Anolis sagrei: one gene and its partner. The protein of the gene in region 1 interacts with the protein of each later gene in a biochemical or structural test. Links are inferred from orthologs where the notes say so. Each region holds a gene or a part of one and is shown on either strand. Other genes may lie near its edges.

Region 1 (7,341 bases):
ATTATTTTGTTTTCATTGTAATTGTTGCATTACATTTCATTTAATATTATTATTATTATTATTATTATATTATATTACTATTTAATATTATTTTAATTAGTATTATTATAATTATACTATATTAAATACTGTTATTCTTCTATTAATATGATTACATTTATTTTACAGCATTATTATTATTATCATGCCTTATATTATTATATTACATTACTATTTAATATTTTAAGTTATATTACTATATTATATTATATTTATTATATTACATTACTATTTAATATCATTTTAATCAATATTATTATATTACATTAGTATTTAATATTTTAAGTTATATCACTATATTATATTTATTATTTTATTTAATGTTTTATATTACTATATTATATTATATTTACTAAATTATTTAATATTTTAAGTTATATTACTATATATTATATTTATTATATTACATTACTATTTAATATCATATTAATCAATATTATTATATTACATTACTATTTAGTATTATTTATTATTATAATTATACTATATTAAATACTGTTATTCTTCTATTAATATGATTACATTTATTTTACAGCATTATTATTATTATTATTATTATTATTGGGTTGTTGTAGGTTTTTCAGGCTATATGGCCATGGTCTAGAGGCATTATATTATATTATTATATTATTATTTTTAATAATATTATTATATATTTTATAATAATATTACATTATTATTTTAATAATATTACTATATTGTTACATTATCATTGTTATATTATTATATCATTATTTTAATTATATTGTTATATATTTTTATTATAATATTATATTATTATGTAATATAATTATATTATATTATTATTTTTAATATTACTATATTATTATATTATTACTGTTATATTATTATTGTATCATTATTTTAATTATATTATTATTTTAATAACATTACTATATTATTATTACATTATTATTGTTACCTTATTATTATATTATTATATAATATAATATTATTATTTTTAATAATATTACTATATTATTATATTATTACATTATTATTGTTATATTATTATTATAATATTATTTACATCAACCTCATCATTCTGCCTTAGTACTATTATAATTATACTGTATTAAATACTGTTATTATATTAATATAATTACAATTATTTACAGTATTATTATTTTAGGGAAGGAGCCAGTCTGATGTCCACGGGAAGGGCGTTCCACAGCCGAGGAGCCACCACCGAGAAGGCCCTGTCTCTCGTCTCCGCCAGGCGTGCCTGTGAGGCAGGCGGGATCGAGAGCAGGGCCTCCCCGGACGATCTCAAAGTCCTGGTGGGCTCGTAGGCCGAGATGCGGTCAGATAGGTATCTTGGGCCAGAACCATTTAGGGCTTTAAAGGCCAATGCCAGCACCTTGAATTGAGCCCAGTAGCAAATCGGCAGCCACTGGAGCTGGTACAACAAGGGCGTTGTGTGCTCCCTGCATCCCGCTCCTGTTAGTAACATGGCTGCCGCGCGTTGGACCAATTGAAGCTTCTGGGCCGTCTTCAAGGGCAACCCCACATAGAGAGCGTTGCAGTAATCTAAGCGGGATGTAACCAGAGCGTGGACTACCGTGGCCAAGTCAGATTTCCCAAGGTACGGGTGCAGCTGGCGCATGAGCCTAAGCTGTGCGAATGCTCCCCTGGTCACCGCTGAAACTTGGGGTTCCAGGCTCAGCGATGAGTCCAGGGTCACACCCAAGCTGCGAACCTGTGTCTTCAGGGGGAGTGTGACCCCATCCAGCACAGGCTGTAACCCTATGCCCTGTTTGGCCTTGCGACTGACCAGGAGTGCCTCTGTCTTGTCTGGATTTAATTTCAATTTGTTCGCCCTCATCCAGACCATCACAGCGGCCAAACACCGGTTCAGGACCTGGACAGCCTCCTTAGTAGCAGGTGGGAAGGAGTGACAGAGTTGGGCATCATCCGCGTACAGATGGCACTGTACCCCGAACCTCCAGATGATCTCTCCCAACAGCTTCATGTAGATATTAAACAGCATGGGGGATAGTATTGAACCCTGTGGAACCCCACAAGACAAAGGTTGTGAGGTAGAACAGGTGTCCCCCAATAACACCTTCTGGGTGCGACCCTCCAGGAAGGACCGGAGCCACCGTAAAACAGTCCCTCCAAGACCCATTCCCGCGAGGCGTCCCAGAAGGATAACGTGGTCAACAGTATCGAAGGCCGCTGAGAGGTCCAGCAGCACCAACAGGGACACACTCCCCCTGTCGAGCTCCCGGCGCAGATCATCCACTAAGGCGACCAAGGCCGTCTCGGTACCATGTCCCGGTCTGAAACCAGACTGTGCCGGATCCAGATAATCCGTGTCTCTCAAGAATACCTGGAGTTGTGAGGCCACCACACGTTCCAGGACTTTGCCCAAAAAGGGGAGATTGGAAACTGGCCGGAAGTTGTCAAATTGAGTGGGGTCCAATGATGGTTTCTTCAACAGCGGTTTTATCACAGCTTGCTTTAAGCTGGCTGGAATTCTGCCTTCCCGAAGGGAGGCATTAACCACCACCTTCACCCACTCGGCCAATCCCCCTCTGGCCTCCTTCAGAAGCCAGGATGGGCAGGGGTTATATTACTATATTATATTATATTAATTATATTATATTATTATTTAATATTTTAAGTTATATTACTATATTTTATTATATTTATTATATTACATTACTATTTAATATCATTTTAATCAATATTATTATATTACCTTATTATTTAATATTTTAAGTTATATTACTATAGTATGTTATATTTATTACATTACTATTTAATATCATTTTAATCAATCTTATTATATTACTTTATTATTTAATATTATTTAATAAATATTATATTACATTACTATTTAATATTATTTTAATTAAAATTATTATAACTATACTACATTAAATACTGTTATTCTTGTATTAATATAATTATATTTATTTTACGGCATTATTATTATATATTATTGACATCAGCCTGACCATTCTGCCTTGAGATCCTCCTCCTGCGTGACGTCACTTCCGCCCTCTCCCAAGCCCGAATCGCCGCCATCTTGTGCGGCCTACTTCCCCTCACGAAGCCTCCTTGGCGGTACTTTTTCACCCCGAGCCGGGCTTCCCGGGCCCCCCTATATTTCGGGCACCCCGCTTCCTTTGGGGACACCCCCGTGGTCCCCCGAGGCCGGCTTTTTCCCTTTTTCGGAGCCCGCTCCCCGATTTCCGCCTACCTTCAGCTCGGCCGCCTCCGCCATCTTGAGGCATCCTCGCTAGGGAGCGGAGGCAAACTCCCAAGCTGAGGCGCAGGCGCAGAAGAAGCCGAAGCCAAAGCCACGCAGGAGGGGGCGGGGCCTCCAGAAACCACGCCCACAAAGGGGCGGGGCCGAAGGCAGCCTCGGTAAAGAACGGCTTGGGAAGCTCCAGGGAGCGTCGCTAAAGAGCTAACCCTCGCAGCAGACGCAGAATAGGATGGAATAGTTATTACTAAATGTTGGGGAAACTGGAGAAATAATAGAAAATATTGGAAAGAACGATAATAATAATAAATAATAGAAAATATTGGAAATAATAATATTAATAAATAATAGAAATTATTGGAAATAATAATAATAATTAGAGAAATAATAGAAATATTTGAAATAATAATAATAACTAGAGAAATAATAGAAAATACTTGAAAGAATAATAATAATAAATAATAGAAAATATTGGAAAGAATAAAAATAAAAATAAATAATAGAAAATATTGGAAATAATAATAATAATAAATAATAGAAAATATTGATGATGATAATAATAATTAGAGAAATAATAGAAAATATTGGAAATAATAATAATAAATAAATAAATAATAGAAAATATTGATGATGATAATAATTAGAGAAATAATAGAAAATATTGATGATAATAATAGCATAATAATTATAATTATTATTAAATGTTGGAGAAACTAGAGAAATAATAGAAAATATTGCTAATAATAATAGCATAATAATAAATAATAGAAAATATTGGAAATAATAATAATAACTAGAGAAATAATAGAAAATATTGATGATAATAATAATAACTAGAGAAATAATAGAAAATATTGGAAATAATAATAGCATAATAATAAATAATAGAAAATATTGGAAATAATAATAATAAATAATAGAAAATATTGGAAATAATAATAATAAATAATAAATAGAAAATATTGGAAATAATAATAATAACTAGAGAAATAATATAAAAATATTGATGATAATAGCATAATAATAATAATAATAATAATAATAATAATAAAATGTTGGAGAAACTAGAGAAATAATAGAAAATATTGGTAAATAATAATAATAGCATAAAATAATAGAAAATATTGGAAATAATAATAATAATAATAATAATATATGCTGATGACAGTGCCATCACCGCCCAAGCAGAGAGCTTTGAAATGGTTGAACAGAAGCTCTCCAAAGCTTTAGCTCAATGTTTCCCAACCTTCCTAATGCCTCTTAATACAATTCCTCATGTTTAACATTGACACAAATGACCAGCCACTGCCAGAAGGGAAAAAGACTTTAATATACGCTGACGATCAGGCCATCACCACTCAAGCAGGGAGCTTTGTAATGGTTGAACAGAAGCTCTCTGAAGCTTGAAGTGCTCTAACCGTCTATTACAGGGAAAATCGACTGATTTCTAATACATATAAAATGCAGAGAAAAATGTATAAAATCAAAAAGGACTTCATAGGAAATCTGCTACAAAACAGGAGCTTTTCTGTTGAGTTTCAGGGCCAGAGAAGCAGATGGCGAAGATAGAAAAACGACCTGAATCAGGGGAGTGTGCTTACTCCGTGCATGTTTAACATTGACACAAATGACCAGCCGCTGCTAGAATGGACAGCAAGTTTAATATACGCTGATGATCATGCCATCACCACTCAAGCAGGCAGCTTTGTAATGGTTGAACAGAAGCTCTCCAAAGCTTTAGGTTCTCTTACTGCCTATTACAGGGAAAACCAGCTTGCAGCATTCATGTTTACATTGACACAAATGTCCAGCCACTGCCAGAAGGGACAGAGAGTTTAATATACGCTGATGATCATGCCATCACTGCCCAAGCAAGGAGCTTTGTAATGGTTGAACAGAAACTCTCCGAAGCTTTAGGTCAGTGTTTCCCAACCTCCCCAATGCCTCTTAATACACGTCCTTGTGTTTAACATCTACACAAATGGCCAGCGACTGCCAAAAGGGATAGTTTAACATATGCTGATGATCGTGCCATCACCACCGAAGCAGAGAGCTTTGTAATGGTTGAACAGAAGCTCTCCAAAGCTTTAAGTCAGTGTTTCCCAACCTTCCTAATGCCTCTTAATACGGTTCCTCAAGTTTAACATTGACATGAATGACCAGCCACTGGCAGAAGGGATAGAGAGCTTCATCTATGCTGACGATCATGCCATCACCACCCGAGTTTGCTGTAGTGTGCTGTTCCCAAAGTACATTCGGAAATCTTTCCCTGTGGATACGGGACTTGTATGGTAGAACACTTTCAGAACCATAACTCGCAGCCCTTCCCCTGAGAAAAATGTATAATATCACAAAGGATGACCACTGACTTTTATTTTAATCTCATTTTATTTATTTTTCTGCCCATCAGTCGTCATTTGTCCTCAGGATCCGCAGCAGCATCTCGTGCACCTCTTTGTCCATGAAGCCCTAAATTGGAGACATATTTTCATTATTATTATTATTATTATTATTATTATTTATTATACTGACACAGCAAATGAGGTCCATAAGCTGGCTCTCATATCACAAAAATAATATAATAATATATAATAATGATATGATTATTATTGCAAATAATAATAATAATAATAATAACATTAATAGTATCATTATTATCATTATTATTAAATATTGTTGGAGAACCTAGAGAAAATATTGGAAATAATAATAATAATAATAATCACATAAAATAATAGAAAATATTAGAAATAATAATAATAACTAGAGAAATAATAGAAAATATTGGTTATAATAATAATAACTAGAGAAATAATAGAAAATATTGGAAATAATAATAATAACTAGAGAAATAATAGAAAATATTGGAAATAATAATAATAATAATAATGGCATTAAATTAAATACTGTTAAACCTAGAGAAATAATAGAAAATATTGGAAATAATAATAATAATAATAATAATAATAGCATTAAATTAATTATTGTTGGAGAATCTAGAAAAATACTAGAAAATATTGGAAATTAATAATAATAGCATAATAATAATTATATAAAATAAATAATATTATATAATAATAATAATAGCACAATAATTATATAAAATAAATAATATTTAATAATAATAAATGTGATATTTATATTATTATTATTATTATTATTCCAATATTTTCCATTATTTCTCTAGGATTTTCTAGGTTCAGTATTTAATGATGATGATGATGAGGATTATTATTATTATTATTATTAAATATAGTTGCAGAACTTAGAGAAATAATAGAAAATATTGGAAATAATAATAATAATAATAATAGCATTAAATATTGTTGGAGAACCTAGAGAAATAATAGAAAATATTGGAAATAATAATAGCATAATAATAATTATATAATAATAATAATAATAATAATAATAATAAATGTTTTGAAGATGCAAGGCCATTCAATGCCAATTGAAACATTCCCACTTGCCTCCAAAAGACAAGAGAAATAATGAGAAATATGGGAACTAATAATAATAATAATAATAATAATATGAGTCTTACCTGGGCCGCATTGAGCAGGTGAGTTCGGTAAATGGCCACAATCTCTTGATGGTTTTTCTGGGCCACCTGTTAGGATAAATGTTGATATAAATATTATTAATATTAAATATTTGCAGAAAAATAGGAATATATTGCATTCTAGGAATATTAATATTATTAAATGTTGATGGTGGAAAAGTAATTGATAAATTATTTATATATCCAATTGGATTTTCAATTAATTGTTAATTCTGCTAATCTGTATCATTCCAATTTTAGTGTATGTGCTGTTGAATATTCTGTGAATATTTCATTTATCCTACATTATTTATTATTATTATTATTAATAATAATAATATTTATTTTTCCTGCAATTATTATTAATATTAATTTTCCTGCAATTATTATTTATTTTTCCTGCAATAATAATTATTATTATTATTAATGTTCCTGCAATTATTATTATTTATTTTTCCTGCAATAATAATAATAATAATAATAATAATTAATTTTCCTGCAATTATTATTATTGCAGGAAAAATAAATAATAATAATTGCAGGAAAA
Region 2 (8,185 bases), on another chromosome or scaffold:
ATGCCACCCACCTGCTGTCAAAGGGACAACTTGGATTTTTAACACAAGTCAAAGCGAAGGAGAAGAAGGCTGGTGCGGTGGGAGAGCCAAACCTACAGCTGCTGAGTCTCCTTTTTCTTCTTCTTGTTTTTTTTGTTTCTGCCACGCACGCTTCTCACACCTCAAAACAAATGGGCACCGCCTCCTCCTCAGCTTTGGCACGCTGCACAGCATCTGTGTCAACCCACACATATTACATACACCTCTCTTGCAGAAGGGTGAGGGGGGTGGGGAAGTATACCAAAGTCCTGAGAAGTCAGGGAAAACTCTTACCACCTCCAAAACATATAAGGGAACAAGTTTCCACCTTAGTTAGATGGGACCTGAGAGAAGGCCCTGGCATTTTATGTTCCCCAAGAAGGCCGGGGGGGGGGGGTGTCTACACTGTAGAACTGATGCAGTTTTGACACCACTTGATCTGTCATGGCTCAATGCTCTGGAACAATAGGAGGTGTGATCTAGTGAGAAACCAGCATCCCTTAGCAGAGAAAGCTAAAGTTCTTGTAAAAGTACAACTCCAGGACTCCACAGCAATGAGCCATGACAATTCAAGTGGTGTCAAACTGCATTCATTCTGGAGCAGGCATTGGACAACTTGGGTCCTACGGGTGTTTTGGACTTCAATTTCCACAATTCCTAACAGCAGGCAAGGGAAGGGAAGGAGGGAGAGAGAGAAGGAAGGAAGGAAGGAAAGAAAGAAAGAATTTGAGAAAGAAGGGAAAGGAAAGTTTGAAGGAAGGAGGGAAGGGAAGAGTGGTGGAGGGAAGGGATGAGGGGAAGAATGAAGGGAAGGTGAGAGGAAAGGAAAGGAGGGAATGATAGGAAGGAGAGAATGAAGGGAAATAAATGAAAGGAAAGGAAGGAGAGAGGGAAGGGAATGAATGAAGGGGAGGAGAGAGGGAAGGAAAGGAAGGAGAGAGGGCAGGGGAGGAAGGAAGTGAGGGAGGGAAGGGAAGAGTGGAGGGGAGGGGAGGGGAGAGGGAAGGAAGGACAGAATAAAGGTAAGGAAAAGGAGGAAAGGAAGGAGAGAGGGAAGGGAAAGAAGGAAGGAAAGGAGAGAATGAAGGGAAGGGAAGGAAGGGATAAAAGGAGAATGAAGGAGAGAGGAGAAGAAAAGAGGGAAGGGGAAAATGAAGAGAAGATTATAGGAAGGGGAGGGAGGGGAGGCGGAAAAGGATGAAAGGAAGGAGAGGGGGAAGGAGAGGAAGGAGAGAATGAAGGGAAAGGAAGAAAAGAAAAGAAAAGAAAAGGAAGAAGAGACGGAACAGGAGGAAGGAAGGAAGGAAGGAAGGAAGGAAGGGAAGGAAAGAGGGGGTAAGGAAGGGAAGAAAGGAATTGAGAGGGAATGCAAAAGAAAGGAGAGGTGGAAGGAAGAAGAGAAGGGGAGAGGGAAGGGAGGGAAGGGAAGTGGAGAAGGAAGGATGAAGGGGAGAATGAGGGGAAGGAGAGAGGGAAGGGCAGGAAAGAGGAAATGAAGAAAGAAAAGGAAAGGAAGGAGAGAGGGAATGGAAAGAAGAAAGGGAAGGAAGGGAAGGAGGGAAAGAAAGAAAGTGAGAAGGAATGCAAAGGAATTGAGAGATGGAAGTAAGGAAGGAATGGAAGAAGAGAATGAAGGAAAGGGAAGTAAAGAGAGAGGAAAGGAGGGAAGGAAGGGACGAAAGGGAAAATGAAGGGAAGGAGAAAGGGAAGGAAAGAAAGAAACTGAGAAAGAAAGAAAGAAAGAAAGAAGAGAAAGAAGTGAAAGAGAAGTAAGGAAAGAGGAAAGGAAAGGAGGGAAGGAAGGGACGAAGGGGAGAATGAAGGGAAGGAGTAAGGGAAGAGAAGGAAAGCGAGAATGATGGGAAAGGAAGGGATGGGAGGAAAGAAGGAAGGAAGGGAAGGATGAAGAGGAGAAGGAATTGAAGGAGAGAGGGAAGGACAGGAAGGAGAAAATGAAGGGGGGAATGAAAGGAAAGAAAGGAGAGGGAGAATGGAAAGAAGACAGGGAAGGAAGAGAAGGAGGGAAGCAAAGAAAGAAAGAAACTGAGAAGGAATGCAAAGGAATGGAGAGATGGAAGTGAGGAAGGAAGGGAAGGGACAAAGGGGAGACTGAAGGGAAGAGGAAAGGGAAAAGAAAGAAGAGAATGAAAAGGAAGGGAAGTAATAAGAGAGGAAAGGAAAAGAGGGAAGGAATGGACAAAGGGGGAAATGAAGAGAAGGAGAAAGGAAAAGAAAGCAAGAATGGAGGAAAAGGAAGGGAAGGGAGGAGAGAGGGAAGGAAAGGAGGGAAGGGATGAATGAAGGGAAGGAGAAAGGGAAGAAAAGAGAAAGAAAGAGAAAGAAAGAAAGGAAAGAAGGAAGGAAGGCAAAGGGAAGTAAGGAGAGAGGAAAGGTAAGGAGGGAAAGAAGGGACAAAGGGGAGAATGAAGGGAAGGAGTAAGGGAAGAGAAGGAAAGTGAGAATGATGGGAAAGGAAGGGAAGGGAGGAAAGAGGGAAGGAAGGGAAGGATGAAGGGGAGAAGGAATTGAAGGAGAGAGGGAAGGACAGGAAGGAGAAAATGAAGAGGAGAGGAAAGGAGGGAAGGAAGGGAAGAAGGGGAGAATGAAGGGAAGGAGAAAGGGGTGGAAAGGAAAGTGAGAATGAAGGGGAAGGGAGGAGAGAGGGAAGGGAAGGGAAGGAGGGAGGGAGGGAAGGAAGCTCTCCTTCGCTTGACCTGGCATCAGGAAAGCAAAGGGAGGAGGCTCGCTCCAGTGGCATGGGGTCAGGCAGCAGGAGGAGTGCAGCAAGGGGAGGCCGGGCTGAGAGGTCAGAGCAGGAGATGAGAAGGGCAAGGAAGGCAGAGAGCGAGAGAGAGAGTGTGCGAAGGGGGAGAGGAGGCCCAGCAGAGGGTTTCCCTGGGGAGGCCTGGCTCACCTGCGCGGGAGGGGCTGGCTCTTGAGCTCATAGTAGGTCTTGGGCTCCTCGTGGAAGTCCTCGCCCACCTCGAAGTCCGCCACGATCCCCGACTCCGCCTGCATGGCGCCCCCGCTCCGCTCCGTCTCCCCGGGCAGAATATGCAAACGGGGGAAAGGACGGGAGGAGACGGGGGCCAAAAGCCTGCGCCACCCCAACCTTCCTTCCTCCTCCGACTTTGCCCGCTGGCTGCCAGCAGCTCTTCGGCGCGCTCCCTCGCCCGGCCGCCCCTCGAGCGGGGACACGCGCCACACACACCTCCCTCGCGGGGCTCCCTGGGAAGCGTAGTCCTGGCGAGGGCGCGCGCTATGGCGCCTCCCCGGCCGCGGGACTACAGCTCCCGTGGTGCCGCGCGGCCGTGATGCCCAGCAGAAGGAGGCGGGAGAGGGAGAGAAAGGCACCCGCGTGCGTCCTGTCAATGTCAGCAGAAGCCAAGGGTATATCTCGAGATCTCTATCTCTCTATCTCCAATAAGTAAAGAAAGGGCAGCATTTATTGACTTATTGGGTTTGCAGTCAGCTTTTCTCCCGCCTAAATGGTACTCAAGATAAATAAATAGAGGCAGCCAAAACATCAATTTGCAAAAGTTTAATGTCAATATTATTATATATTTATTATATTGACATTTAACATAAAAATGCAGCACACATGCACCTTAGGTCCAAGTGTCTGGAGCTAATATTATAATATTATAATGTAATACAATAAAATACTAATAATAATACAATATAATAATTTTATATTTTATATTCCTGAGAACTTTAAGCTGTGTTTGGAAGCAGTGATGAGTTGGCTTCGAGCACCCTAAAAGTCAATCCTGCAAAAACTGAGATACTCTCTGGCCCAGCCAACCACCAGAATTAACCCAGTCTTTGCCTGATTTCGATGGGGAAGCTCTGGTTCCGTCCGCCACTGTTAAAAGCCCTGGGGTTGTGTTGGACTCATAGTTGACGATGGAGGCCCAGATCACTGCCATAAGTAAGCAGGCCTTTTTTCATCTTCGACAGGCAAGGAAATTGGCATCCTACCTTTCGGTAGAAGCATTGGCAACAGTAATCCACGCAACAGTCACCACGAGGCAATGCCTTATTTGCTGGCCTTCCGAAGTCAATGACCCAGAAAATTCGGATGGTCAAAAATGCGGCAGCCAGGCTGCTAGCAGGATCATCTATAAGATCCCATATTACACGGATTCTGCAACAACTGCATTGGCTACCAATAGAACATCGGATCTCTTACAAGATACTGATCTTGACATTTAGAGCTCAAAATGGCCAAGGACCTTTATATCTTAGGGACCGCCTCATTCCTTTTCCCCATCAGTGATCACCTCGATCCACCCAGGAAAATCTCCTCTACATGCCGGGTCCTAGGGAGGCACATTTGGAAGCTACAAGGCGTAGAGCTTTTTCGATCTATGCTCCAATTCTGTGGAACTCATTGCCTCCATATATTAGAGGAATGTAGGAGTTGCAACCTTTTGTAAAAGCGCTCAAGACTTGGCTGTTTGGTTGTGCATTTAAGTAATCAGATCAAATTTTGCCATAGTCACTGCTGAATGTTTTTATGATGAATGTTTTTATGTTGAATGTTTCTATGTTGAATGTTTTTATGTTGAATGTTTTTATATTGAATGTTTTATATTGTGTATAAGCTATTTTAAATTGTAAGTCGCTCGGAGCACTTTGGTGGAGAGCGACTAATTAAGAAATAAAGTGATGGTGATGATGATGATATTGCATGTAATATTACTAATAATATTACAGTATAGTGGTATAGTACAATATAGTAATATATAATACTAATATTGTGCTATAATAATAATAACACTTTATTTGTACCCCGCTACCATCTCCCCAAGGGACTCGGTGCGGCTTACATGAGGCCGAGCCCAAACACAACAATATAAGCAATAATAACAACAATACAAGCAATTAAAAAAACATAGACAGTAAAATACGCAACATTATCCATAAGACAACACACAATTAAAAACAGTGGGAAGGCCAAATGTAGAGTTAAAATTGGAAATAATGCTGGGACATGGACAAAAAGTGACACCGGTGTTTGTGGAAGGGCATATGAGCAGACCTAAAGAAATGTAAAGTGCTTTGAAGGATAAAGTGCTATGCTAATAATATAATATATTGTATGTATAAATAAATAAATAATGTGCATTAATAATAATAATAATAATAATAATAATAATAAAACTTTATTTATACCCCGCAACCATCTCCCAAGGGACTCGGTGCGGTTTACATGAGGCCAAGCCCACAATACATCAATACAAGCAATAACAACCATAATACAAAGCAAAATACAAATACTAATACAAAGCAATTAAAATAAATCTCATACACAAATAGTATAAACATTGAACAATAACACAAAACACATTTAAAATCTATGGCTGGGCCAAATGTAATTAAAGTTAAAAAATAATGCTAGGCATGAACAAGATAGAGGAGGTGGGGCGTTAGTGGAAACATACAAGCAGTCCTAAAACAGGATAAAGTGCTTTTAGAGGACATAATGCTAAGGGTTCATTATTCTGGGAAGGCACACTGGAACAACCACGTTTTCAAGCTCCTCCTAAAGACTGCCAGAGTTGGGGCATGCCTGATGTCCTTAGGAAGTGAGTTCCAGAGTCGAGGGACCACCACCGAGAAGGCCCTTTCCCTCGTCCCCACCAATCGCACTTGTGATGCAGGTGGGAGCACGAGTAGGGCCTCTCCAGATGATCGAAGAGATCGTGTGGGTTCATACACAGAAATGCGGTCACGCAGGTAGGCAGGTCCCAAACTGTTCAGAGCTTTGTAGGTAAGAACCTGCACCTTGAATTGGGTCCGGAAAATATTTATTGCACATTATATTTATTATGATTAGATTTATTTGTATATAACATACATATTAGGTCCAAGAATCCCAGACACTTGGACCTAATTATTAGATTTTTAAAATTATTATTAGTCAATTGACACAAAAACACAATATGTCACAGCAAACGAGATCTATATGTTGGATTTCGTATGACAAAATCACAAGTCGAACACTTCCTAAGCATCTAGGCCTGTGTGATGTATTTTCGAATGACGCACACAGATCCAGGTAAGGTGGCCTTTTGTAGTTGACAGATCATGATTTTGTCAATGCTTTATTGTTTCCAAATGCCAGCTGAGATCTTTTGGCACGGCACTCAGTGTGCTGATGACCACTGGGACCACCTGTACTGGTTTATGCCAGAGCCTTTGCAGATTATTATTATTATTATTATTATTAGATTTATTTATTTATTTACCACTGGGTTTTTTCCTCTTAAAAAGGTTCAAAGTGATGAACAGTGATAATATTGTTATTTTGATTATTAAAGTTATTATTAGATTTATATACCACTGTTTCTTCCTCTTAAATAACAATAATATTACTTTATTTATAACCTGCCCTTTCTCCCCTGGAGGACTCAGGGTGGTTTTTTCAAATAGTCTGGGCCCAAAGAGACTCAAAGCAATGAACGGTGCTCAAAACAATACAATATACCTAGAGACAATAAACATTCAAATAGACTTAAATCTAGTGATATCCTAGGTTTATTATTTTTAGATTTATTATTAGATTTATATCCCACTGTTTTTCCTCTTAAACAGACCATAAACATTAAAATAGAATTAAACCTAGTGATATCTAAAAACAAACCATTAAAAGTATTAAAATCTATAATGTTAATATTATTATATTTGTTATTATTATGTTTCTTATTATATTAATCAATATATTTATATACAACTGTTTTTTCCTCTTAAAGAGACTCAAAGCGGTAAACGATGCTCAAAACCATACAATATACCTAAAGACTATAAACATTAAAATAGAATTAAACATAGTAATGTCTAAAAATAAACCATTAAATTATTTAAATCAATTTAAAATACATAAAATACCACAAAACACTTGGTCTTAAAACATTCATTGCTGCAAATGGTTCCACAGAATGGGGCTCCCACCATAAAAGACTTTGCTATTAGAAAAACGTAGGTGAAATCTTTTCAAATATAAATGATGTGGAAGTATACAAAAATAAGGACACTTGTCCATCTTACTGCCATTTTTTTTCATTTCATAAAATAATACTTTACAATGTGGGGACAGAAACTGTTGGGATACTGATTTGTTAATGCAAAAACAAGTAGAAGTAAATAATTTGTTGAATAGAAGGAGAAAGAAAACATGTTACATTATAGAATAACCGACAAAAAGGAAGCAGGAAATTCTCTTTTAAAACTAGTTTATGTACGTATGTTTCCATTTTAGTCTTATATGTAATTAGAGCAGGGATGTATGTTTGTAGGAGAAAGTGTGTATCAGTCATGTAGTTGTTGTTTAACAATGTTTATGAGTATGTATATATGTATCAATGTTTGCTTTATTTCTATTACAAAAAGAAAAATAATATCTTACTTCACAGTTTGTTATTGGATATATTTTAATTAAAGATATATCAGGTGCATCAGAGTTTTTTTAAGTGTTTAGGGCCTCCAAACGTCTTGATCAGACCCTATTTCAAAAATCGTTTCTTTCAAAAACCAATGAGATTCAAGCTCTTCAAAGGATAGCACTTTGTGACTTCCTTGGGGGCAAGGAGACTTGAAATTTCATATCCAAGATATTATGCTTTGCACATTGTCAGAGGTAGGAGCCCCCAGTGGCACAGTGGGTTAAACCCCTGTGCCGGCAGGACTGAAGACTGACAGGTCGCAGGTTCGAATCTGGGGAGAGCATGGATGAGCTTCCTCTATAGCTCCAGCTCCTCATGTGGGGACATAAGAGAAGCCTCCCACAAGGATGATAAAACACCAAAACATCTGGGCGTACCCTGGGCAATGTCCTTGCAGACGGCCAATTCTCTCACACCAGAAGCGACTTGCAGTTTCTCAAGTCACTCCTCACACGACAAAAAAAAAAACATCAGAGGTGCTGTCATTGACTTCCTCAAAATCCAAATGTCTTTACCGACTGCCAAGGTCACAGCACTCTTTAGATGTGGAAAGACATGTCATCAGCTTCAGCTTATGCGAGAATCAACTATGTTTACACAAAGCAGAGGTTACTGTGTTAACTTGACATGCTCAGGAAAAAATATTTATTTATTTGAAACATTTATATTCTGTCCTTCTCACTCCGCAGGGGACTCTAGAGGGCTCCCAACCACTGCAT

The links. The genes of interacting proteins can lie anywhere in the genome.
Region 2: the proteins of PIAS3 (region 1) and MITF form a complex in vitro, tested with the Homo sapiens proteins (2 studies listed by BioGRID). The link is inferred for Anolis sagrei from reciprocal best matches to the Homo sapiens genes PIAS3 and MITF.

The regions. Positions count from the first base shown.
Region 1 is NC_090032.1:21,886,243-21,893,583, reverse strand, and holds the start of PIAS3 (E3 SUMO-protein ligase PIAS3), read right to left. Parts: upstream 3,356-7,341; 5' UTR 3,272-3,355; coding exon 3,248-3,271; intron 1-3,247. Other genes in the region: ANKRD35 (ankyrin repeat domain-containing protein 35), read right to left, coding at 5,660-5,722, 6,798-6,863. UniProt on the Homo sapiens protein: Functions as an E3-type small ubiquitin-like modifier (SUMO) ligase, stabilizing the interaction between UBE2I and the substrate, and as a SUMO-tethering factor.
Region 2 is NC_090022.1:38,276,152-38,284,336, reverse strand, and holds the start of MITF (microphthalmia-associated transcription factor), read right to left. Parts: upstream 3,230-8,185; 5' UTR 3,037-3,229; coding exon 2,933-3,036; intron 1-2,932. UniProt on the Homo sapiens protein: Transcription factor that acts as a master regulator of melanocyte survival and differentiation as well as melanosome biogenesis.